Linked DNA regions of Oreochromis niloticus. The protein of the gene in region 3 interacts with the protein of the main gene of each other region in a pairwise test. Links are inferred from orthologs where the notes say so. Each region holds a gene or a part of one and is shown on either strand. Other genes may lie near its edges.

Evidence for each region.
Region 1: the proteins of tarbp2 (region 3) and znf346 interact in binary tests that used the Homo sapiens proteins (3 or more experiments, as listed by UniProt). The two-hybrid records come from large-scale screens. The link is inferred for Oreochromis niloticus from reciprocal best matches to the Homo sapiens genes TARBP2 and ZNF346.
Region 2: the proteins of tarbp2 (region 3) and tceanc interact in binary tests that used the Homo sapiens proteins (3 or more experiments, as listed by UniProt). The two-hybrid records come from large-scale screens. The link is inferred for Oreochromis niloticus from reciprocal best matches to the Homo sapiens genes TARBP2 and TCEANC.

What each region holds. Positions count from the first base shown.
Region 1 is NC_031975.2:23,624,741-23,632,265, reverse strand, and holds the start of znf346 (zinc finger protein 346), read right to left. Parts: upstream 3,217-7,525; 5' UTR 3,117-3,216; coding exon 3,059-3,116; intron 1,326-3,058; coding exon 1,222-1,325; intron 485-1,221; coding exon 389-484; intron 1-388.
Region 2 is NC_031986.2:14,111,200-14,119,352, forward strand, and holds tceanc (transcription elongation factor A N-terminal and central domain-containing protein), read right to left. Parts: upstream 3,217-8,153; 5' UTR 3,070-3,216; intron 2,913-3,069; 5' UTR 2,908-2,912; coding exon 1,936-2,907; 3' UTR 172-1,935; downstream 1-171.
Region 3 is NC_031970.2:5,771,994-5,780,252, forward strand, and holds the start of tarbp2 (RISC-loading complex subunit tarbp2), read right to left. Parts: upstream 3,230-8,259; 5' UTR 3,067-3,229; coding exon 3,014-3,066; intron 1,508-3,013; coding exon 1,193-1,507; intron 1,045-1,192; coding exon 975-1,044; intron 872-974; coding exon 754-871; intron 293-753; coding exon 165-292; intron 1-164. UniProt on the Homo sapiens protein: Required for formation of the RNA induced silencing complex (RISC). Component of the RISC loading complex (RLC), also known as the micro-RNA (miRNA) loading complex (miRLC), which is composed of DICER1, AGO2 and TARBP2.

The sequences.
Region 1 (7,525 bases), on a different chromosome or scaffold from region 3:
ATCCTGATGGTGAATGAAGCAATCGTAAAAAAATTCTCAGTCTGTTCCATGACTGCTGGGGAGCATTTCAGGATAAACTATTTAAACTGTGTTAAATTCATCTGAATAATTTCATCATCATTTTTGAAAACCTGACAGCCCCGGCTGGCTGATGTGAGCAGGTTTTATATAAACTGAAGAGCAGGCAGATATGACTGGAACATTCACTGATGGTCTTAAAATACACAAACCTCCCACTGAAAAAGTGCAAGACACACTGGGAGAGCCAACTGCTCAAGATCAAAGATATCTCTAAAAGTACTTTGTTTCAGATTTATAGTTGGCGAGGTAATAGTGACTCATAAAAAGTTTTCTCGGTGCTGGTTTGAGTTCTCTACTTTTTACTCACGCTGTCAGACGTTAAGGGCTTCAGCTTTTTGAGTGCTGGCTCTTTTTCATTTTGGATGGAAAGATAGCGCCGCACTTTGTTGGCATGCTTCTTGCTCTGAAAGGACAAGCACAAAGGTTTATTCCACAGTGGACACAAACATTCACTGCACATTTCTAACACGTTTATGTCTCCAAACTTTAGCATATCAATATTTCAGGTAAAATATAACTGTATTTAATATAACCTTTTCAGTGTTGCATTTATGGATCGACATCAATCTACTACTGCTAATTTACTACACAATAAATGCCAAATACTGCAACTACACGTTTTTAGATGTAAGTATTTCCTATTTTTCTTTGGTTTGATTCTTTGCAAAGAGAGCCAGCAATCACAAATGAATGTATAAATCAAACAATGTCCAATCATTTTACTTAAACTAGACATTAGTATTTGAAAAGCTGTTTACTTTTGCAGATTTGTCAAAATTTAGAATAACTTAGAATTGTCTCCTCTTCATCATCCACTTTGCAGCAGGGGAAAAAACAGAAGTGCATCACAGCAAACATCTGGTCAGCACTGTAGCCAAAGGTCCACTTACTCTCAGCTAGTTGAACAGCCCTTCAGCCCTCTTTTGCTATATTTGTGATTTACTGGACAGCCTAATGATGATGTGCTATTACAGCTTTAATAAACTTTTAATGTAGTGCCAAGTCCATTCAATAATAACACCTTATAAGTGATAAGTGTGCACTTTTTCTCTCATTGCTGAAAACTGTAGCACCATCTAATGAAAGCTAAGTCCCCTGACACCAACACAGCAGCACGCAGCAGACCGTGGGCTCACTGACCTGATAATGAGTCAACTTCTGAGATTCAGAAATTAGGACAGCACTGCAGACTTTACACTGGGAGTCAGAAAACAGGTCGCCATGCTCCTTTATCATCTTATTTACTGCAAAGGAGGGGAAAGGGAGAGAGAGAGAAACTTCAAATCAGGTTACATCATCTGGGAAAATGCAATTATAACACAACGTGAAGAGACTATTTGTGGCAGCAGTTCAAACAACATATCTGCTCGAGCTACTCCTTTTACTTACCAAGGATGTAAGAGCTCAAATGCACTATTCTGTTTTATTTAATAGTGTTATGAAAAATACAAACAGTTTTCTGGATTAACCATTATCTTGCCTATGGGTTTATGGCAATGCCTGTGCAAACATCTGTGAATAACATACTACAAGACACAGAAGCATGGTTTTTGGGGTTTTTTTAGGCCCAACTCTGCTTTTTAGTCTTAGTCATTCTTGGCTCATACCAAGCAGATCACTAATTCATCTTGATATCTCAAAAGTAAAATATATATGTATAAATAATTTTAAAAAAAACACACACACACACAAAACAGGTGGTGTATTATCCTGAGAGGCAGCCGAATTGGTTGGTTACAGCTCTGTAGGAGGATGGCATGGCATGTCACGTCGCCTTTACACATGTAGGAGCACAGTGTATTTTTAAGCATTTACAATCTGAATGTGTCACATTAGAGGATTCAGAATCCTGTTAAAGTCACAGCTTTTTGTTATTCAGACTTGGGCGTCTTGTTATGCAAACACTCCTCACAGCTTTGAAGATGACAGGACCTCAACAGAAGACGCTGCAATGCTCATGTGGAATTTGGAACCAAAATGGAAAAAGGATCAGAAGGGAAAAAAAACTGCAGTGAAAACACTGCATATGCAAAAAGTAAATGCTGTTTTAGCTGTTTACCAAAAGCTTTCTCATTTACAGGTCTTAAACTGCACAGTTTTTGTTGTTGTTGTTCGTTTGTTTTTTATTATCATTTCATAGCCAAACTGTGGGAAGGTTTTAGGAATTACAAAGCTCAGTCTTTTTCGAGGCACCAAAATTAAATGGACAATTGAATCTGTGGTTGGATCGCAGTCACAGTTGCCATTTAGGCTGCAAAAAGTGTGCAGTGGGAATATAAGTCGCCCAATCAACGATTTGATGTATTCCGAGAATGAAAGAACACACTGGAGAAAAAAATCTGCATGTCCACCAAAGACAACACACTGGATGGTCGTGGCATCCTTTCCAAAGTAGAGGGGGGGAAAAAAACAAACAAAACAGACTCTCCAAGACTAACATAAAGAGTATGTACACTAAAGTCTACACCCTGGATAATTATCTGGAAATACATCGAATCGAATATTGGCACGCATAAATTTAAAACAAAAACTTTTAGATAATTCATACACTTGTGGTTATGACACTGTCCTGAGCTGAAATCTCACATGTATCTTGCTTGCATTACTAAACACACAAGCAAGACCAGCAGAAGTGCAATCCGCATGGCCTGAAAGACGCATTTCAGCTGATGCCAAGCCAAAGATGCCTCCCTCTGTCTGTATTAGTAACCATTCAGGCCAAATGTTTCACAGTCACTGAAAAGCAACATCGGATGCAGACGTGCTCTAGTCGACCTTGGAACCGAAACGGCTACAGCTAGCATAGCACATTTTAGCAACTCGATGCGCTTATTACTGAAGTACCGGCTAACGTTAGCTTTGCGAAGGTAACAACAGCGCCGGTATTTTAAGCAATAACAGGGAGGGCCTTTACACAGTGCAACCGCGCCTTTTTCTTCTAAAACAAACGTTAAATTGTTAAATAAACAGGACATACTCTCTGCTGGTCCCGAAGGTAAGTAAGGAAAATCGTCGGTCTGCATCGCGACGGCCATAGATTCTACTCACAGCCAGCGGCGTCCGAACACGCATGCGCAACTCGCAGGCAGAGCAAAAGGACTTCCCACTGTGGGCTGTTCTCTAACAGGCAGGCAGCACAGACAGTTTTCAGTGCATTTGAGCCTGTTTCTTAGCTGTCACACTCAGTTTGGACTTGCGTATATCCGTAGTGGGATACCAATTGTAGAAATACCTTTTATTCACATCTCATGTCGGAATATTTCCCCGGTAGCATGCAGACCAGGCAGTCCTCTCCACAATGGAAAATGATTTGTTACAAACGACAAGCCACTCGATTTAATGTTTTTTTCAGGCCAAATCGTCCATATACACGTTGTCCTTCGTTGTGTGTTTGGATTTTTGTGGGTGACAAGTCCACTGGTTACGAAGCGAAGTTTCCGTAGTGTAGTGGTTATCACGTTCGCCTAACACGCGAAAGGTCCCCGGTTCGAAACCGGGCGGAAACATGTTTTTCGTTTTCTGTATTGTATCGTTTCTACGGAAGAGGATTAGGGCCCCAGGGGGAAAAAAGAGTGGGAATGTCTTTTTTTTCTTTTCCAGAATTCTGAGAAAAAAGTTAGAATTCTGACTTTAGTCTAAGAATTCCCACTTTAATCTCAGAGTTCTGACTTTTTCTCAGAAAAAAGTCGGAATTCTTCTCAGAATACTGAGAGAAAAAAGAGAAATTCTGAGAAGAATACTGAGAGAAAAAGTCAGAATCAAGACAGAATTCTGAGAAAAAAGTTCTGACTTCAGGATTCTGATTTTTTTCTCAGAATTCCGGAAAAGAAAAAAAAAGACGTGCCCACCTTTTTTTTTTCCGGTGGACCTAATCCTCTTCGGTAATGACTTATATGACTTGAATGACTTCCCGGTTCGAAATTGTAATTATAACATGTCTTTTAGACTGTATTTTCGCAACAGCAGGCCTGTAACTTTATAAAAGTGAGTATTTTTGCATGTCGCCAAATCGTGTGTGACAATATTAGATTGTGACATGTATATTGTGACATGTATATCATTGTAAAACAATATATTATTGGAAAATGAGAGAAGACTTATCGCACCGAGTTTCCGTAGTGTAGTGGTTATCACGTTCGCCTCACACGCGAAAGGTCCCCGGTTCGAAACCGGGCGGAAACATCATACCTTTTTCTTTATAATTATTCTTCACGTTATCAAGAAAACAGAATTACTAAACAGTCACCTGACGATTTATTAGGTACATTGTGCCTTCAGATCTCCCTTTGTTCTTCATGACATAGATCCAACAAGGTGCTGGAAACGCACCTTGCAGATATTTGGTCCACACTGGCCACACTGGTCCTAAATTGTTGCTAGGATGGATCCATGCTTTCCATCTGTGTCACAGCAGATACTGAGACACATCACAGTAAGCACAGTTCATATCATATCTTATTGTCTGATTTTCTCCAACATTCAAACATTCATAGGATTTGTTCTTAATGATCGCAGTCACACGTGTTTCTGCTGAATCTGAGTCAGTCACTAGGTGGGGACAAATAACTATTAACAAAAAACTCAACGGCGACGGAAGGAGAGTTGCTGTAGCATTATACTGGTTAATGGAAAATGCATTTAGAAGTTTCCGTTGTATAATTTCTGCAGCATCGTGCAACTTTGAGTTTTAGCATAATACAGCAGTGTAGTAAATTTGCGCAGTCCGTATGTGCCGACGAGATGAAGAATTAATGCAGCAGACAGGGTATGACAGGATTAGTAGATAATACTGGAAAATTACTTTAACTGTGGGCTTTTATTTTTATACTGACCTGTTCCATGGTGACCAACCGGCAGTTCAACAGGTTTCCGTAGTGTAGTGGTTATCACGTTCGCCTAACACGCGAAAGGTCCCCGGTTCGAAACCGGGCGGAAACATTATTTGCTTTCCCTGAGTTACACTTTTCATAAACATTACGTTATTAACTGAAGTAACAAGCCATATTTGTGGTCACCGAGTTAGGTGGGGTGCTTTTTCCTTCAGTAGAACAACGGAGCTTCAGGAGGTGCAGGGGTGTCAAACGGCCGCTGGCTGTGTCCAGATGTTGCAGAGAACACCACTCATGTAAGAGGGCCCTCGCCTGTGTGGTAACGACTGGGTTTTTCAACAGGACAGTTCTACAGTACACAGTGACTGCAGGACAAGGGACTTCTCTGAGAAAATAACATCACTCTTTTGGACCATCCTACGTGTTCCCCTGATCTAAAATCCAATTGAGAACCTTTGGGGATGGATGGCAAGGCACATTTACAAAACTGGACAACAGTTCCAGACAGTAGATGCCCCATCTTCACCACGAATTGTGTTCCCACTCACGTCATGGGAACGCAGATACTGAGGCGCATCACAGTTCGCAGTCACACGTGTTTCTGCTGAATCTGAGTAAGCCACTAGGTGGAGACAAATAACTATTAACTAAACACTCAACGGAGACCGAAGGAGAGTTGCTGTGGCAATATACTGGATAATGGAAATGCTTTGAAGTTTCTGTTTGGAAGTTTGGAAGTTTCTGCTGCATTGCATATTTTCTGCAGCATAGTGCAACTTTACGAGGATACACAGAGTTTTTATAGTGAGGTGATTGTCATGGCCACCTACTATGATATGCAGTGTATTAACAGAGCGATAACTAAGGCAAATGTGCGCAGACAGGGTATGACTATATAATAACAATATTAGACTGATAAAATCTCTTTAAATGTTATTCATTTTCTCAAGATAACCCGTTCTGAATGCTAAGCAAGTTTCCGTAGTGTAGTGGTTATCACGTTCGCCTAACACGCGAAAGGTCCCCGGTTCGAAACCGGGCGGAAACATATGGTTTTGGTTTACTTGAAAAAACTACAGTAAAGTTACTGTCTTCATAATTATTCCATGACGTGAAATGGTAAGTCTCCTAAGATGTCGTATCGTTATTAACCCCTTAAGATAAGTCTTTGAGTTTTCACAAGATTGTTAGACACCCAAGGTATCAATCTGGTAACTCTCCTAACAAAAACTTGTCTCAGGGGTTAGGGTGAAGTCGGGCCAGTTTCTTCCACCTCTCATTCTCTTCCTCTTTTCGATTTCCAAAGTCATCCTACAGACTGCCGTCCGATGCTGCCTACATACATTCTCCCCCATCTCTTTCACATTGCACCTTCTGCATAAGATATCCTCCTGTGTACACCTTCAATCACTCTTCTATGTCACCCTGTGTTCCTTCTTCTTCATAAAAGGGCATGTTCACCACAGTAATTTCCATCCTTTCTGCAAAATGCAACTGGCCCAGCTTGACCTCTCCACTGAAGGAAGAACGTTCACCCCTGCAGAGATCAAGACCTCAAGACCCTCACGGCCGCCCTACTCGACCCCCTGCAGTTTACATGCAGAGCCAACAGGTCTGTAGATGATGCTATCAACATGGCTCTACACTTCATCCTGCAGCATCTGGACCCCCCGGGGACCTATGCCAGGATCCTGTTTGTGCCTGTTTGTTTCAACACCATCCTTCCAGACCATCTCCAAGGCAAGCTTTCCCAGATGAATGTGCCTGATCCCATCTGCCGGTGGATCACTGACTTCCTGACAGACAGGAAGCAGCATGTGAGGCTGAGGAAGAATGTCTCGGACTTCCGGACCATCAGCACTGGCTCCCCCCAAGGCTGTGTTCTTTCTCCTCTGATCTTCTCCCTGTACACCAACTGCTGCACCTCCAACCACCAGTCTGTCAAGCTAATTAAGTTTACAGATGACACCACTGTTATCGGACTCATCTCGGACGGGGATGAGTGTCTCTACAGGAGGGAGATTGAACATCTGGTGTCCTGGTGCAGCCACAACAACCTGGTGCTGAACGCCCAGAAGACAGTGGAGATTACTGTGGACTTCAGGAAGCACACAGCCCCACTTCTCACCCTGGACACAGTCTATTTTAACTGCTCCCTTTAGACAGGAGGTTTCGGTTCATTCGGACCAGAACCTCTCGCCATAAGAACATTTTCTTCTCCTCTGCTGTTGGACTCATGAACAATAACCATATGACTGCTCCTACCACAAACACATGAACCTATACTGTGTTCTCTGCATCTGTTCCATTTTTGCACTGATCATTACCTGCGTACATGTATATATCAGTCTGCTTAGCACTTTTAATTTTTATTTTTATGTTTATTTATGTGTTTGTCTTACATTATGTTTTGCACTAAGTACTGCAGCAATTTGCTAATGTTGTAAACCTGCCCAACATTTGGCAAAAAAACCCTTTCTGAATATGATTCTGAGAGATTCAAAGGTAATAAATCAAAAGCCGAAAATTGCATTTCTGGTTGATAGAAAAAAATTATGTTTTCTTGTTTTTCTCTGATGCAAAACTCCGTTCTGCTTTTTTTAAAATGTATTTTT
Region 2 (8,153 bases), on a different chromosome or scaffold from region 3:
AAAGTAACCAGAGAGAATCCAAGCAGACTTGGGGAGAACATGCAAACTCTACACAGAAATATGGTTGATTCAAACCCAAGACCTTCTTGCTACAAGACAGCAGTCCTAACTATCTCGCCAACAGCTGCCACTCCAACTTATGTAAATCTACAGTTCTCTTCAGTGAGTTCCTTGAATTTTCCAATTGTTCTGAGTATTCTGAGTCAGTCCAATGAGTGCTGTCAAACAAATCCTTTTTATGCTGTAAAGATAAACTCCCTTCTGTACCCAATCATAATCCCTAATGAGGAGTTAATAGGCCTTAGCTTTGTTAAGACATTGTAGAACCTACAGCACCACCTATTAAAATATTAAAATGATTGTTCTTTAGAGTAATTCCGTACAATCATTCCACCCTGAAAACAGAACAGCTCAAAGAAATCATTAAAAGCCCAAAACTAGCATCACAGTTATGCCCTTGATGAGTGGATGTAAACTTCTCACCACAGCTGTATGTGGCTGCAGAGCATCAATCTGACAGGGCACGTCACTAAAATGCTCCTTATCTACTTAAAAGATAAGGAGCACGTGAGAGGGGATGGAATACAGACAAATGCACCAGCGTCGAGATACCAAACACGATAGAAAGATATGGGGGTTTTTTTCATATTTGGCCATTTTACCTTCGGCCTGCTGCAAAAATCAGAAAAGATGCAATAGGCCAGGACGTGACATAAATAATGACGCAGGAAGAACAGCTGAGGATAAAAATAAGTCATTTTCTCTGTAATATCTTCACACACAAAAAAAGACTGCTTCATGTGACATCACAGTGACGTGTATGTGAGTCATTGTGCCACGCTGGCTGGAGCACCATGGGATATCCGCCCCTCCGGCTGCTAGGGAGGGCAGATTACTGGCTCACATGCTCGGAGTTCTTCAGGGGTCACATGTCTCATCTGCTGGATTCAGTTTGCTACAAATGAATGGGATATTGTAGAGCAGAGGCATGTTTTAAAGAATTCCCCCACCGTGTTAATACTCAGAAATACTGACAATAAGTGCAAAATAATGCATTTTTTTCATAAAACTTATAAAATTAAACATTAGCGAAGCCAGTGGTCAAGGCATTAATGGATCTTTAGATCAGTAATGTAAGAGAGAGCGGCCAGTAAAAGCAGTTAAATGAGCTACTGTAAGTAGAAATAAAATGAAGGGCTATTACAGAGAGTGGAGACACAGGAAATGATTCAGCGGGAAGAAGATGACGACAGCTACTTCTTGAAAATCCATGGTTTCAGTCGGAGACTGCAATGACTTGGCATTTCAGCCGGTAAAGATACAGTTTAGGCTTTCAGCTGTGGGTTTTAGTGGTCAATGCATGAAAGACAAAGCACAAATCCTATGGGAAAAAATCTGGTTTAAACCACAAGTATGCACTTCATCCTGCAGGAAAGTTTCCACTCTGCATCCCATGTGACCAATCCTCCTGTTTCAGAGCTGAGTTTATAACACTCAAAACATTTAACTGGTCACAGGAAAGCCTTTATAATACCAAATTGTGAACTAGGGGTGAAACTTGGAAAACCAACTCAAACAAGTGCAATTTTACAGTGGGCAGAACAGCTGAAACAACCAATCAACTAAATGGCTGGAAATTCATCTGCAACAATGGCAGTTTAAGTCAATTTATTATGTAAATGTGTAAAGAAAAGCCTTCAAAATGTATTATTTCAAAACTAGCAACACTGAGTATCTGAGCTAGGAATCCAAGAAGGTCATGTTCCAGATTTCTGAACATTTTTAACTCCACAGATGTCAAAAAATAAGAAAGTAAATCATTAATGAAAGTTCTACACAGCATGATTCTTGTGCAAAATGGTTAAAAATCTGTTATTTTCATTATCAGTTAACCTGCTCTTAGCTTTCTTAGTCATGTATGTTATCCATGTGGATTCAGAGGCAGACCCAGCTGCTGTGGTACCACTGCTGGCCACACCCGCTGCAGGTCACAAAGGTCATTGCATCCTCATCTGGGCCGCCCTGCCTCACCCACGCAGGCAAGAACAGAACCCCTCTGGACACCTGCGTCACCCTACAGTCTGACCCCCCGCATCTTTTGCATCGAATCTTCTCCGTCCGCGTCCCCTCTATCCCTTGAGGAAGCTGCCTCTCACTCACGCCCTGGGAGGAGTACTCCTCCCTCAGCTGCCGCAGCTCTGCGCTGGCCATATCCTCCGCAGACATGCGGGCGAAGGCCTCGGGGGACAGGGAGCCACTCAGGAGGCCCTGATGCAGGTGGCCGCTTTTGGGATTCCTCAAGTTGGCCACCTTGCTCCTCACACAGGCTTTATATTTGACCTGGTTGTGATTATGAAGTTCGTGGACGTGCCGCTCGATGTCTCGGGCCAACTCAGCAGCCTTGTCCTGATCGGGGGCAGAGGGGCAGAGGGCAGCAAGGAGGAGCTGCACACATTTGGTTCTCACGTTATCTGGAGATGCAGCAGAAGTATGAGCTTTGGGTCCAGGTTTAGCCTGCATAGATGATGGTTCTCCTGCAGCATTCCCCTCTCCACCATCACATGTTTGGGCAGAAACCGCACCACCCACGGCTTCTTTTGGTGAAGAAACACTGGCAGGGAGCTCAGGATCCTCGCTCTCCTCTGTGCACTTCACCCCTTGCCTGTCCTTCGTGTACTGTCTCTTCCACTCGGACAGCAAGCTCTTGACTGTCTTCTTCACGCTGTCATCAGTGCAGGTTTTCAGGAGCCTGTAGAGCACTTTGACGATGTCAGTTGTTTCCAGCTGTTCCGCTGTGACGTGAGACTTCTGGAGGTCACCAAGGAGGGTCATGATGTTCCCATAGCTTCTGTCTGCACTGAATTTCTCTATCTGAAGAGCACAGCGGAGCATCTCCTTTGGATCCATTGTGGCTGCAAAGACACAAAAGTAAAGATGAAACAATGAATGTTTTTTTTCTTAATGTGGTGATGTTTGCCCCTCACTGCAAAATGAAGCACTGCTCTCCTGAAAGCACAGCAGTATGTACCACTTAGCAACACATTAAAATAGACTTTTGCACATGTTTACCTGAGTTCCTTCATGGTTTGCAGTTTCTTCCTGCTAACAGTGAGCCTAGCAAACGTCTACATGGGAGCAGCCATGTTGAATGTGTCTCCACGGGAGAAAAATGCCAGCATTCACCTCTAGATGGAGCTGTAGCCTCACAAAGTCAATGTGTGCATGAGGGTAGTGCAGGTAGTTTCCCATCACTTTCTTAAAATGGAACTATATATATGTATGTATGCAATCTTTTTTCCCCTAAAAACAGGGATTAATGCAACATTACAAATGAAACCTCTTTGCAATGAAAGTGTCACCATGAATCCCCGAATCAGTACACTGCGGCCTGTTTAATCTGAAAGTATCCCAGCAGAGCTTTCCAGCTGTGCTGTCAGTCTGTGCTTTATCTAAAATGTACTGTGGGATTAGTGCTTTATGTGAGGATTTAGGTGTGTGCTTTTGGATTTTCCAGGTTACTCCCACGGCCAAACTTCTGTCTATTTTAACGCCTCTTTCCTGTTTTTCCCACAATAACAAATGTGGATGAACCTGTGCTAAACCACACGAGGAGCTGAGGGTGTCGTCCAGACAAAGTGTTCGATTTCAAATGTGTGTTGCATTAATGGCTATTATTATAGCCTTATGTTCCTTCTTTTCAGCTCCTGAGATCGAGATGAAAGATATTTGGTTCAGCGTGCAGAAACGTGTAATCCTCGCATCCAAGCAGCCAAATGACCTCCAGACAGGAATTCAGTGGAACTGATCTCGTGACAAGATGAGGCAAGTCTTTCAGCTGTGCTGCAATTACATGTTTTGATGGAAGAAGATGAATGAGTGTTTAGGATAATTCGTGGTTGTGGAGCTAAGACCAGAAAAGTTCCAGCGGACGCACCAGTTCGCAGGTAGTTGTTAGTATTTCGTGGAAGCCTGGAACATGGTTTGATGTAATCACACCATCGACGGTGACGTGAATGAGAGAAAAATGCAGGCTTAATTGCATGGCTGAAAGGTTGATTATGTATTAATTGGATGTTGTCTGAATGGGAGCATTGACAAAACAATTCAATAATACCTTTAGGGCTTTATGGACTGTACGGAAATTGCTGAAGTGATGAAGGAGGCTGATTTAGTCTGTGTTTGCCTATTTTGTTGCTTTATTCCCTTTTTCCCAACAGCACGGCACATTCATCATCATTTTTTGTTTCCAAACATGCAGCACTGACTCACCCGAACACACTCATACTAACTACTAAAATAATATAACGAAAAGGAGTTAGTGCTTTCCATTTCTATGGTGAGCAAAGAAGACCAAATGTAAACTCACCAACTGTATTGCTAGTACTGGTTTGGACCCTCTTGGCTTCAGAACAGCCTCAGTTCTGTGTTGCATAGATTCAACAAGCTGCTGGAAACATTCCTTAGAGTTTTTGATCCATATCGACATGATAGCATCATCCATTTGTTGGCTGCACATGGCTCCATGATGTGAATCTTCTGTTCCACCACATCTCATTGGTGCTGCATCGCGCTGGGATCTCATGACTGTGAAGGATATTTGTGACACAGTGTTTCATCCTGCTGGAAGCAGCCAGCAGAAGATGGTACACTGTGGTCATGACAGCATGAACATGGTCAGCAACAACACTCAAGTAGACTGTGGTGTTTAAATAAGGCTCAGTTGGTACTCAAGGGTCGAAAGGCATGCCAAGAAAACATTCCCTACACCGTTACACCAACACCAGCAGCCTGAACTGAGGCTGGATGTTGTTTATGCTAAATTCTAAATGCTGGAGCAGAAATGTTTGGTGAACTTGTGAAAATCTTAGCCTCAGTTTTCTGTTCTTAGCTGGCAGGAGTGGCGCCGGGTGTGGTCTACTGCTGTTGTAGCCTTTTTTTTTACCTTTACATTCAGAGATGCTCATTACAACCTTGGTTGTCATCACAACCTTGCTTGTAATGGGTGGTTATTTTAGTTACTGTTGCCTTTCGATCAGGTCAAAGCAGTCTGGTCTTTCTGACCTCAGCCATCAGCAAGGCATCTGAATGCACAACACATCAAACCTTGAAGTAACAGAAGACCACACCCAGGGTCGCTGAGGCTACAATTTACAAGAGCTCACCAAAATTGGACATTAGAAGATTGAAAAAACATTGACTGGTTTGTCTCAATTTCTAATGCAACATTCAGATAGTAGTACACATTTGGAGTAAATAACATAAAAGCATGGATCCTGCAGGCTTGTACAACCAGTCGGTGGTGTAATGGTGTGGGGGATATTGTAGAGTAGATTATAGCGACTTATCTTGCAACATAAGGCTAAAGGTAAGCATAAAAATAAATGATGTCAAAAGGAGTTCCTTTACACAAGAAACAAAGCACGAAACCCTCTACATTTTCAAAATCTTAATTATAAGGACAAATATTTTTGTACAGCCCCTTATAAGTTACTCGAGAATATATGTATTTTTCTGTAAGTATTATTTTCACATCTGAGGTGCTGGTTTCAACAAATTTGGCGATAGCTGCAGTGGCAGAAGTTGTAAAGCCTTCCAAGACTCCTTTGACTGTGAATTGCATTCATAAATTAAAGATAAACAGAAACCACGAGCTGCCTTTATATCAAAATGAGCTTTTTATTCACTGAAGCACGTTTAATAGTCCTGCCAAATCATATATGTTATTATTCATACACAAAAGCCCAGATGAAATGTAATTACATGAACAGGGCGCCATTATGCAACTGCTGGTGTGACATCACCCTCCTGATCTTACATTAAAATGTGCTTTCAAGATTCATGCAGCTGGGGCCGATAGCAGTGGAGGCCTCAAGGGAAAATTGATTCGGTGTCTCTTCGCATAATAGCTTCTGGTTCTCAAGTTCAAAGAGCTGCTTTTAAAACCCCAAATGGAAGTTAAAGCTTCCAGGAGGCTTTTAGCAGCGTTAATGTTTAACTTTTCTTCTCTGGCTTGAGGAGTTTTCTTTGAGCGTGTGAGGAAATGTGCTGTGAGGGATATTTGAGGTTCTGTAAGCGAGCTTTCTTTTGTTAAGTGGATTTTGTGAACTAAAACTCCAACCTTTCACACATGTAGAAGGGTCCTGAGTGTTGACCCCCACCGAGGTGTGGATTGAGATGGGTGGGGTCCGGCTGAGCCATCAGTGAACACATGTAAAACTCCTCTTTCTGTGGTTAAATACATTAAACCTGCTGAATTTTGAACCCTCAAACAAACACGAGTGATTTCCATCACAAGAGTCACAAGACACCTTGCATCTTATCAAGTCATTTCAGTGCGGCCTGCTTGCACTTGTGCACTTTCTTATCACTGGGAGTGGAATTTTACCAGCACGCAGCTGCTGTGACAGCCGAGCGCCGAGAGGTGGCGCTCTCTGCACTGCGCTGGTTTGAACAGAGCCTATGAGGAAGTGGAGTCCTGCTGTATCACATCCTGCTTTTGTTGTCCCCGCCTTCTCGATGGCGTGTACGCTTGAGCACACACACACACACATACGCGCACACACTACCCCGCCCTGAGCTTGAGAAATTCTGAGGAGGAGCATGGCCTTCTTGTTAGAGTGATCAGCTTTTTCATGGTCAGACATTCATGACAACATGGTAAGTCCCTGCACCCGCAACCACGACCTGAAAATACCCCCCAACGCTGCCAAGTGCATGTGTGAAAGACAACAAAGTGAAAAGGTGTTATAAGAAATCATCAGTCACATGGTGCTGAGTTACAACAGCCAGTGTCAGTGCAATAATAAGCCTTGTTCTTAACAGGGTGAGAGAAGGTTAGAAAACAGGAAGAGCTACACATATTTGCTTTTTTTTTTTTGGCAGAAGTCTGATCTGACTTTTCGGTGGGGGAAGAGGAAATGTTTTTTTGTTTTCTTCCCATTTTTGACATTCCAAAGGAAAAAAATGTGAATTTTACTGCAAACAGCAACATTTTTATTGATTGTATCCTATTTGTTTAAAGTGAAACAAGTTTTATCATGTAATGCTCTATAATTAGAGTGCTTTGCCTTTCAGATGTTATTAAATATGATGAAAATGATGTGTTTTATTTATTTATGTGATCTCTCTCTGTAAAAACACATGCGACAGAGACTGTGGGGTTTTTTATGCTGTGAGAGCAAAATCAACTCTTATTTTGTATCTATGCTTAATGCTCTTGACAGGTCATGTGTGTGTGTGTGTGTGTGTGTGTGTGTGTGTGTGTGTGTGTGTGTGTGTGTGTGTGTGTGTGTGTGTGTGTGTGCATGTGTTGAGAGGGACTTGTCTGGCAGTGCCCTACCCATCATACCCTTCCCATCCGTCATTACCTTGAGGGTAATCACTGATGACTGGACTGGATTCTGTTTGTTTTCTCTTTGCTTCTGCCTCAGGGTTCATTCTGTTTTGTCTGAAGCTCTGCAAAGATTTTTTTGGTGCTTCTGGACTTTCTATTTGTGTGTGTCTGTGTGGGAGGAGGAGGAGTAAGGGGTGGGGGTGGGGGTGGGGGGGTTAATAAATGTTATAAAGAGGCAAAGTATAGACAAAATGTCATGTTTTGGGTTTTTTTTAGCTTGTGCTTATTTGGAGTCCTGCAAACCCAGAGGCAGGAAATGAGCCTCCCCAAACATGAAACCGCTAAGAGCGCAGTTGCTGTGTCTTCTCTTGCTGATCATAATATTTTTCCTATTTGATTAAGAAAAAAAACTCTGTTCTATCAGAAGCGATGAGGAAGTGCAGACGATTGTGACTTGTTTGTGCTTTGCTCAACAGCGGAGTCAAAGCAGAATCACGAGACTCACTCTAACCCTTTTCTTGATTATGGTGAAACAATGCTGTGCAAGGTGCTTTGTAAGCAACTCAATTTCATAGCGCCTCTGGGGATGTGACGCAGCACTTGATAGCAGTTCAAAGCAAACTTGGGAGCTCAAAGTGTACACTCTGAAATAGTTTCATTAAATTGTTTCCTTTTGTATAACTGCCTCTGTTAACCCTTTGTACCAAAGAGAAAATTTTAGCATTGATTTTGCTATTCTGATCCTCTGAGGGTTCAACCATATGTTTCCTCCCCTGCACAAATAATTATCCACATTGATTCATCACATTTGTTTTCCCAT
Region 3 (8,259 bases):
CATATGAATCAGAGATTATGCTAAATTAATAATGCTTCAGAAAAAACAGAAAAATAAAATTTAAAAAAATATTTTGTTACTACGTAGAAGTGAAGTAAACTCTAATTCCTCTAATGATGCTTAATAAACATTTGTCAGTTAGTGTAGCAGTGTTTGATTCCCACCATAGTAAATGTATCATCTTCTGCATCAGCATCATTGCTGGTCCTCATATCTACGGGGACATCATGTATGCGTGACAACATCTTAGCTGCTGCGTTTCTCTTGGCTAGCTTCTTAGATGTACCGCTTCCTGGTGAGGAAGAGGAGATTGCATCAGAAACCAAAGGATGTGCTTGATATCTCTGAAGTTTTTCATGCTTTAAGAGAGTAAGTCAAGGAAAGTCACAAACTGGTTGACCAGTGTGAAAGGCGTAACAATAGATATATGATTTTGCTCAGTTTTATTAAGCTGTTTTCTATCAAAAATATTTAATTAGTGAACACACACCACCCACACACAAAATTGTGTTTTTCATGTCTTTGTGGGGACATCTAATTGACATCATGCTTTTCCTAGCAGCTTACCTTAACCATTAAAAATGAATGCCTAACCCCAACTAACCAAACTGTAACCCTGACACTAAAACCACATTTTGAGTCTCAAAAATGCCCGCAAACTCGTGGATCAGGCATTTTGTCCCCACAAAGATATGTAAACATGGTACACACACACGCGCACGCAGGCTGAGAGATTGAAACAAAGCCACGTACCGATTTCTACAAATCTCTCCACTCTGCAGGTCATGGTGAACTCTTTGCGATGTGCTGGACCAGACTCTTGAGTGACTGTGTACTCTGGCAAACGCCATCCTTTCTGCACCACCAGCTCCTGGCAGAACAAAGTAAAAAAGAAACCAAAAGTTGGAAAATTTATAAGCCGCAGAAATAATGACAGCAAAATGAAACCTTGGTAGCTGTCTGCGTTTATTTACCTGCAGAGCCCCTACAGGGTTGCATTCAGACTGCTGTGAAGTGCCTGTGGTCTTCATCTCTGACTGGGCACTACACAGATGTTGAGAAAAAAACAAAAAGGTAACAATGAAACCACACAAACCTCTATCTTACTTTTGTTAAGTGTTGAAATGCTCTTCTTAACATTCAGGCTGGCCTGCTTATTGGATGTTTAAAAAAATTAAACAGAAAAACTGACCCATCTGCATCAGTAGACACATCAACCCCAATAAACCCGTCTACTCCAATACCAACTCCGGCAGGACCTCCGAGGCCTCCCTTTAGCATCTTCAGAGCAGCCTCAGCTGCTTTGTGCTTGGCTGCCTTCTTGCTGGGCCCCTGGCCGGTGCAGCTGATCTCTCCGACGGAGACGCGGAACGTGAAGTTGGGCTGGTGGGCCTGTCCCTCGGCCTTCAGCAGGTCATACACTGGGGTCTTGCCTATCCGCGTTCCATACTCCTGCAGCAGACTGATGGGCGTCTTTCCGGGATTCACAGCCAGCATTTGCTCAATACTACATAAGAGAAAAACCTCGCATGAGACAAACTCTTCAGAAACACCTTTTCATACAAACAAGAAAAATAATTGTATATAGGGTTTAGTATATTGTGTGTAACTTCATAGTTTTACTTTGTTATCTATTATTTATTTTCATTTTCATACCTATATTTATTTTAGTTTTTATTCACTCAAAAATTAAAACAAAAACTATTAGGAGAGTAAAAATCTCACTAAATATTACGGGGAACTATGTTTTTGATACTTTTTCTATATATTTTGAATTCTCTGTCTTCAAAAGTAAAACAAAACACAGGTTCAAACAGAACTTGGACATATTAGAGTTACAGAAACAATTACAGTTACATATATCCATGCTTATATTCACCAATTAAATGAGACTTTAATTCACCTGAAAGTTGACAAAAATGTCAAATAATGTAGACAGAAGAGTAGAATAAAAAACTAAGTAAAAAGAAGAAAAATGCAATGTTTTCAAAGTCTGATCTGTATAAAAATAAATGGCTGCAAAAATGGTCATAAAACATCTGTGTAAAGTTGTGCTTCATTCTCACTGGAGAAACCAAACAGCCACTTCATAAATGGCACAACACAGAAGAGCCACCTCGACAGGACAAGACTCGGCTGCACGTCTGCATCTAAAGGTCAAAGGTCAGTCTTTCAAGGATGTCAATATTCACATTTTGGACAAAAGAAGACAGACGGTTTGAAAGAGGAGTGAACGAAGCCATCTATGTCCACTGTGAAGCATCATCTTTGAACTCTCTGCCACCTATAGTGTAGTTTCCCATGTAACTCACATGATAGGGTGAAGCAAGGTCTCACAATGGGTTCACAAGAAACCTCTGCTGATAATGACCCACACCCTTTTTCACACCTTGGCCCATGTGATGAGCCACATGATCAACAGTTGCTTACAATCTGGGACTTTCCAGCATTTGGTCATAGAACTGACGTAGCTTCTCGGATGAGAGGTAAAACATGTGCTTTAATAATGAAGGGTATCCTTCAGTGTTACTACTAGATAAGCTCTATGGAGCTCAGGTCCTCAGACATGGATAGACTTAGACAAAAAACAACAACAACAACAACAAAAAAACTTTCTTTAGTGGAGATCTGAATTTCGTGTTTAATGCACGTGCTGTAGATCAATACAGCCATCACTGATCTAATTATAGATTAATAGTCACTTTTCTATCGGAAAGGGGAAGCTTACAAAGTTTTCAGTGTGAGTGTAGCTACTTTATTATCGAAGAGTCTGAATACAGTGTGGAAACGGAGTAAAAGAGCATGGATGTCACCAAAGTCTGCAGACGACCCGATGCCGTCATTCTGGCGTCACAGTTTTGCAACGTGCAGCTGTCAGGAAAAAAAAAATGCTAGCAGTTCGTGTTTACAGCTCTGTTTCTGAAACGCTACTAAAAGCCAGCCTTCTCATCTTGTTTGTTACTGGAGGAGGAGTGTGGTGGACTGACCGGGGGAGCTGTTAGCTTAGCTTTACCTGGAGCACCCGGAGTTTCTCTTCCAGCTGTCCGATGCTGTCTCGTCGTTCATTCCCTATTTCACGCAGACAGAGCCGGTCGGTTTCGGATGGCAGTTCCCCCCCACCAAAACAGACACTTGCTTTCATCAGACGCTGTTTATTGTTTCCCCTTACAGATGATGAGGCGACGGCATAAAGCGAAGCCCCCCCGTCACTGCCGCCCCGACAGACTACAACAGCGGAATCCTCTGGCGCGAGGATATGACGTCAGCGGCTCACTGCGAAACCTCTGTTTTTTTTTAGCACGTTCAACGCTGAGATTTCACGAAACATCTCTTTCTATGGATGGTACAGACAGAAGTATACAACAGGCGTCAATCCAGGTATTTATGCACATCAGAGAGGTCAAAAAGTCAGACATTCTTCTTTCGGCTGTTCCCTGTAGGGGGCGCCAAACAAACCATCTGCTGTAGCATCGGCTGTGTCCCAATTCAGGGTATGCACGCTTGAAGTACGCGCACTACGCGTACTACGTACGGTGCGTACTACAAGTACGGGAAGTGCGGAAGTGAGAGGCTTGTGAAATGGGACGATCTAGCCTTCGTCGTGCTGTTCAGGTTGCCTAGCAACCATGATACTAACCGCGAGAAATGTTTCATACAGCTTTGTGTGACAGAAATGAAGGAGAAAAAATGTTTTGTTGTTCATTCATTTTTGTCATGACATCACTTTGATTAGTTGAGCCCACAGGACTGTAAAACATGATAGTTGGGCTTCATTTCTGTACTGAACAGTCATTTCAAGATTAGTTAGTAAATAATAATTAGCTAATGTTATTCATGAGACTAAAGTCATCTCACTGTGGTGATGTTAATATAATATGGACAATATTATATGTATTGTATATATATATATATATATATATATATATATATATATATATATATATATATGATCTTGAACTCTGGGTCAAAGATGCAAGTAGCAGTTATTTATATTTCCTATCACCTTAAATCTTCACTCAAAGACAAGTATCTCTGACAGTGTATATACAGATGTATTATATATAAGAGACAAACATTGTTCTTTCAATATGTTGGCATTACTAAATTTGGCTCAATGCTTATATATATATATGTGTAAAAAGCAAATGTACGAGCTGTGATAACCGTTTCTGATAGAATGAAGATCAGACTGATATATGAAATATTCCTTTATTGGGTGAGAAAATCAGACCGTGTCATAACTGCGTTAACTCATACAGAATAGATATCAGAGCCTTAAACAGGCTGACTTCTGCTAAATGGGTCAAACTGGGCAGAAAGTCTACAAACACATAACATCCTTATAGAATATGATGTAACACTATGGATCAACTTACCTCAGAATATATAAAGCATATAAACAATTACAGCAATATGATGCAACAAACACAGCAGCACTACTGATCCAAAATACTCAAAGCTTCATAGAACTGAAACAAACATTTATTTTTAGCTCCGTTCTGCTGCTGATACATACTTTAGGTTTCTGAATATTAAACTTGTTGCTGCCTTTCATACTGTGTAACTTGAAGGCTCTGAGTACTTTCTCTCACACTGAAAACACTGGAATGATAACATTATTTGAACATTACCTAATAAGACTGATTCAGGACAGACAATTAGTTATGTTAAACTTTCCTAGCAGTCCTTCACAAACAGGGAACAGTCTGTCTATTCTCTCCATCTGTCAGCTGCTGCTGGCTCTTCCTCCTCCTCTTCCTCACACACTGCTGAGTTTGTCCTGGTGGATCATCAGGGGTGCAAAGCCTCACAGATGATGTGCAGCAGTGGGTCCCTCAGTCTGTCCTCACTCTGGACACTTGCAGTTGTCACACATGGAAATCAAATGTGTGATAAGCTGCAGGATTCAAACACAAGTGTAACTTATAAATACATGTTCATACTTTTATTCCACAATCAGAGAGAAAGAAACAGAGAGAGAGAGTGCAGGACAGACAGACAGGTGACAGTCTCAGGTGTACACACTGCTACAAAACAGCACAAGAGAAGGAGGATTTAGTGTTTGTGTTATTACGAGTGCTAAACAAGAAGAGTTCCCAGATGGTCCAGTGGACACATGTGTGACTCCTGTGATTAAAGCATCTTTCTTTCAGCTTAACGAGTGAACCGTCAGCTCGTTCAAACACACGTTAAAGTCCGTTTGGCTCGACACCACCGAACAGAGGCAGCAATATAACATAGCTAACATTAACAGTGCAGTGAATCCTGCTTGTGCCGTCATATTCAGGACTGCAAACCGAGCAGCATCACTGACTTTCAGCTTGTTGTGTTTGTGGATATATGACTGACTTTAATTATCCATAAAATCATCACATTCTCTGTAAGATTAAGGTCAACTATATATATATTTAGAAGTAGAGGCTTTAAAACCAAGTTTACGCTGAAAGTACAAACATCACTAATGTCACATAACTTTCCCGACATGTGGCCAACAGTAATGTTTTAATGTTCTTAAACATTCGCACATAAATAAGTGACATCATATTCAGTACTTACTTTTGACAGTTCACTCTTCGGCCGCTCCCTTCTGCCGTATTTTGCGGCAAAATTATCCACACCCACCGCCGCGCTATGGATTGTGGGATATATGGGGCCAGGAAGCGTGCACCGGACCACGCTTGATATTTGGGGAAATCGACGGCGCATTTGGAGTATGCATTTGAAGTACACTTTGAATTGGGACAGCCGTCGTCGCGTGGCGGTGACGTAATCGCACTTGAAACGCGTACTTCAAGCGTGCAGACCCTGAATTGGGACACAGCCATCGTCTTCTGTCACACCACCCTACTACATGTCCTTTCTCGCTGCATCTATGAATCTTCTCAGTGGGCTTCATCTTTCCCCCTGCTTGGCAGCTTCATCTCCAGCTCAAATCTCAGCATCTTCAGCTCTGCCTGCTGTCTTTTGTCAGCGCCATCATCTCCAAACTGTGAACATGGTCCACATTTTTTGGTAAATGATCGCTTTCACGGTAGTGAAGTCTTAAAAGTGCAGCAGGCCACTGAGGATTTAAAAACAGATTGGTAAGAAAACAGAGAAGTCCTGCATCACGTTGAATTACATTTGTTACTTAACTTTTAAGGTATTTGTTTTAGCCTGTAAATAAAAAATCGCCTTATAGTTTATTTTTTACAGTCATTTCTACAGTTTTATATGTTTTGCATGAGGTAGCTGAACTGTGTATGATTTGGCGTTCCTAAATGTAACCAGAAGAGGGCGACAGTTAGCTATAGATTTCCCCCGCTGACAGCCCTCCCTGTCGGGTCCCTGGGATGTCCAGCACCTGTCATATCCACTACAGACCAACGTGGCAACACGAGAAATTCCTTTCGTGTAGTGGACTGACCACCCTAAAGCTGAAAATAAGTTTTTGAAATCAGATATGCCCCAAAGTGTTTATTCTGAAAACATTCAGAGTTAAACCTCTCCATGGAATAAAAAAGGTTATAAACTTTCAAAAGAAACATTTTCAGCACTTTTAATTTATTTTAAAAGATTACAATGAAAAATAATTTACCCAAGTAAATGTTTTTACAATGATATTACAGTCAGGCAGCTCTATTAATTTGGGATCTTTTTCCCTGCTTGGTTTGGAAAGATGTGTCTTCATAAATAGCCAAAGGAACCGTGCAGACCCCAGAAATCATCTGAACCCACAACGTCAGAGTCTCCTTTCCAAATTATGTAGCAGCGCTTTCGTAAAATGTTTTATTTTATTAGCATTTTCCACCTTTCCATGAATTATCTTTAATTCCGGGGATCAACAATTAATCCCATGATGGTGTGCTTGCAAAGCCCTGCTGGCCACTGTCGAACCAGAGCTCTGAAAACTTCGTCCACTGGCATCAGCGTGTCAGTGTGGATAAGCCCGCTTTGCCAAACGCAACACAAAGTGAACTGGCCATGACAATGAGTAGAGCTGCCTCCCATTTGAACTCCTAAACCTACAATCCGAGCAGCGTGATTTATCACTGACCTGAGTATCTGTGACCGGAGTGCACCCCTCCTCCTCATTACTCATACTTACAGTGTTAATTTGTCTTATTCTCTGAGACTTTATTTATCAGCTGAAGGCTCCAATTTATTGACCTATAATGTGATAATGTAAGCGTTTTTATTGAGCTTGTGGTTAAATCCTTGACTGAATGAGATCAGCGATGAATGCCATCTCTTAGCAGTTACAGTATACTTCATCCAAATTGTATGCGCACATCCACAAACACACTTTCCTTTTCCCTGCCTTGGCCTGGTGCATTAGTATGTGTGGTTCTTTGCTTGCCAAAATCATCAGTAGATATCTTGAAGCCCCGAGCTGCTCTTTTTCCCTCCTTCCACAATATGATGTGTTTCCTTTTTTGTGTGTGTTTTGATCCTTCTCTTGCGGCCAGGCTGTGCTGTGGTGAGGCGCGGGTTCGAGTGGCGCTCCTGTGTTATTTTTGGCAGCAGCAGTGGTTGGTGGCTGTTGAGGAGAGAGGAGACAGAAGGGGGATAGCATGAAGACCAAAACCAAGGCTGTTTAAGGGATTTCTGTCTGAAGGAATTGCTTTGTAATGATCGCACACTCATTATGGATGTGCGTGCGTGCATACATTCACTCACGCACACAGAAAAAAAAAGCTGGCATGCACATTTGTTCATTTAACACTTCTCAAACACCTCGTATACATGCTCTCATTCATGGACCACACACTCAGAGTGGCTAAATTGCCCAACCTGTGATTTTTTTTTTCTTTTTCACTGAATCTACACGATCCACAAGCTGTCGTTTGAATATATCAGCACAGTCACACATTCGGCTTTGGTTAATTTTCTGTGTTTCTGTCATACTGGGAGTATCTTTTGCTGTGAATGTTCTCTCTTTCTCTGAGGGAACCAGACTGAGACATGCTCAGGCAACACGCAGTGTCAGACATTCACGCTCCTCCCTCCGCGCTTCTGAAAACACCATTTGAAAAAGATTTTCTCCGACTCCGCTCTTGGCCACAGATCAAGAGAACGTTATTACTCGACTTTATTTATTTATATATTGTGGTGGTAATGTGTGTGAATGTATGCGCGCTTGTATGTATGTGTGAGTGAGTGATATGTAATTGTGTATGTATGTGTGTTAACCCGCAAAGATATTTCAATTTCTTCAGAATATTAAATAAACATGCAGCAGCAGCAGCAGCTTCAGTGAAGCGCTGCCTGCCAGTGGGT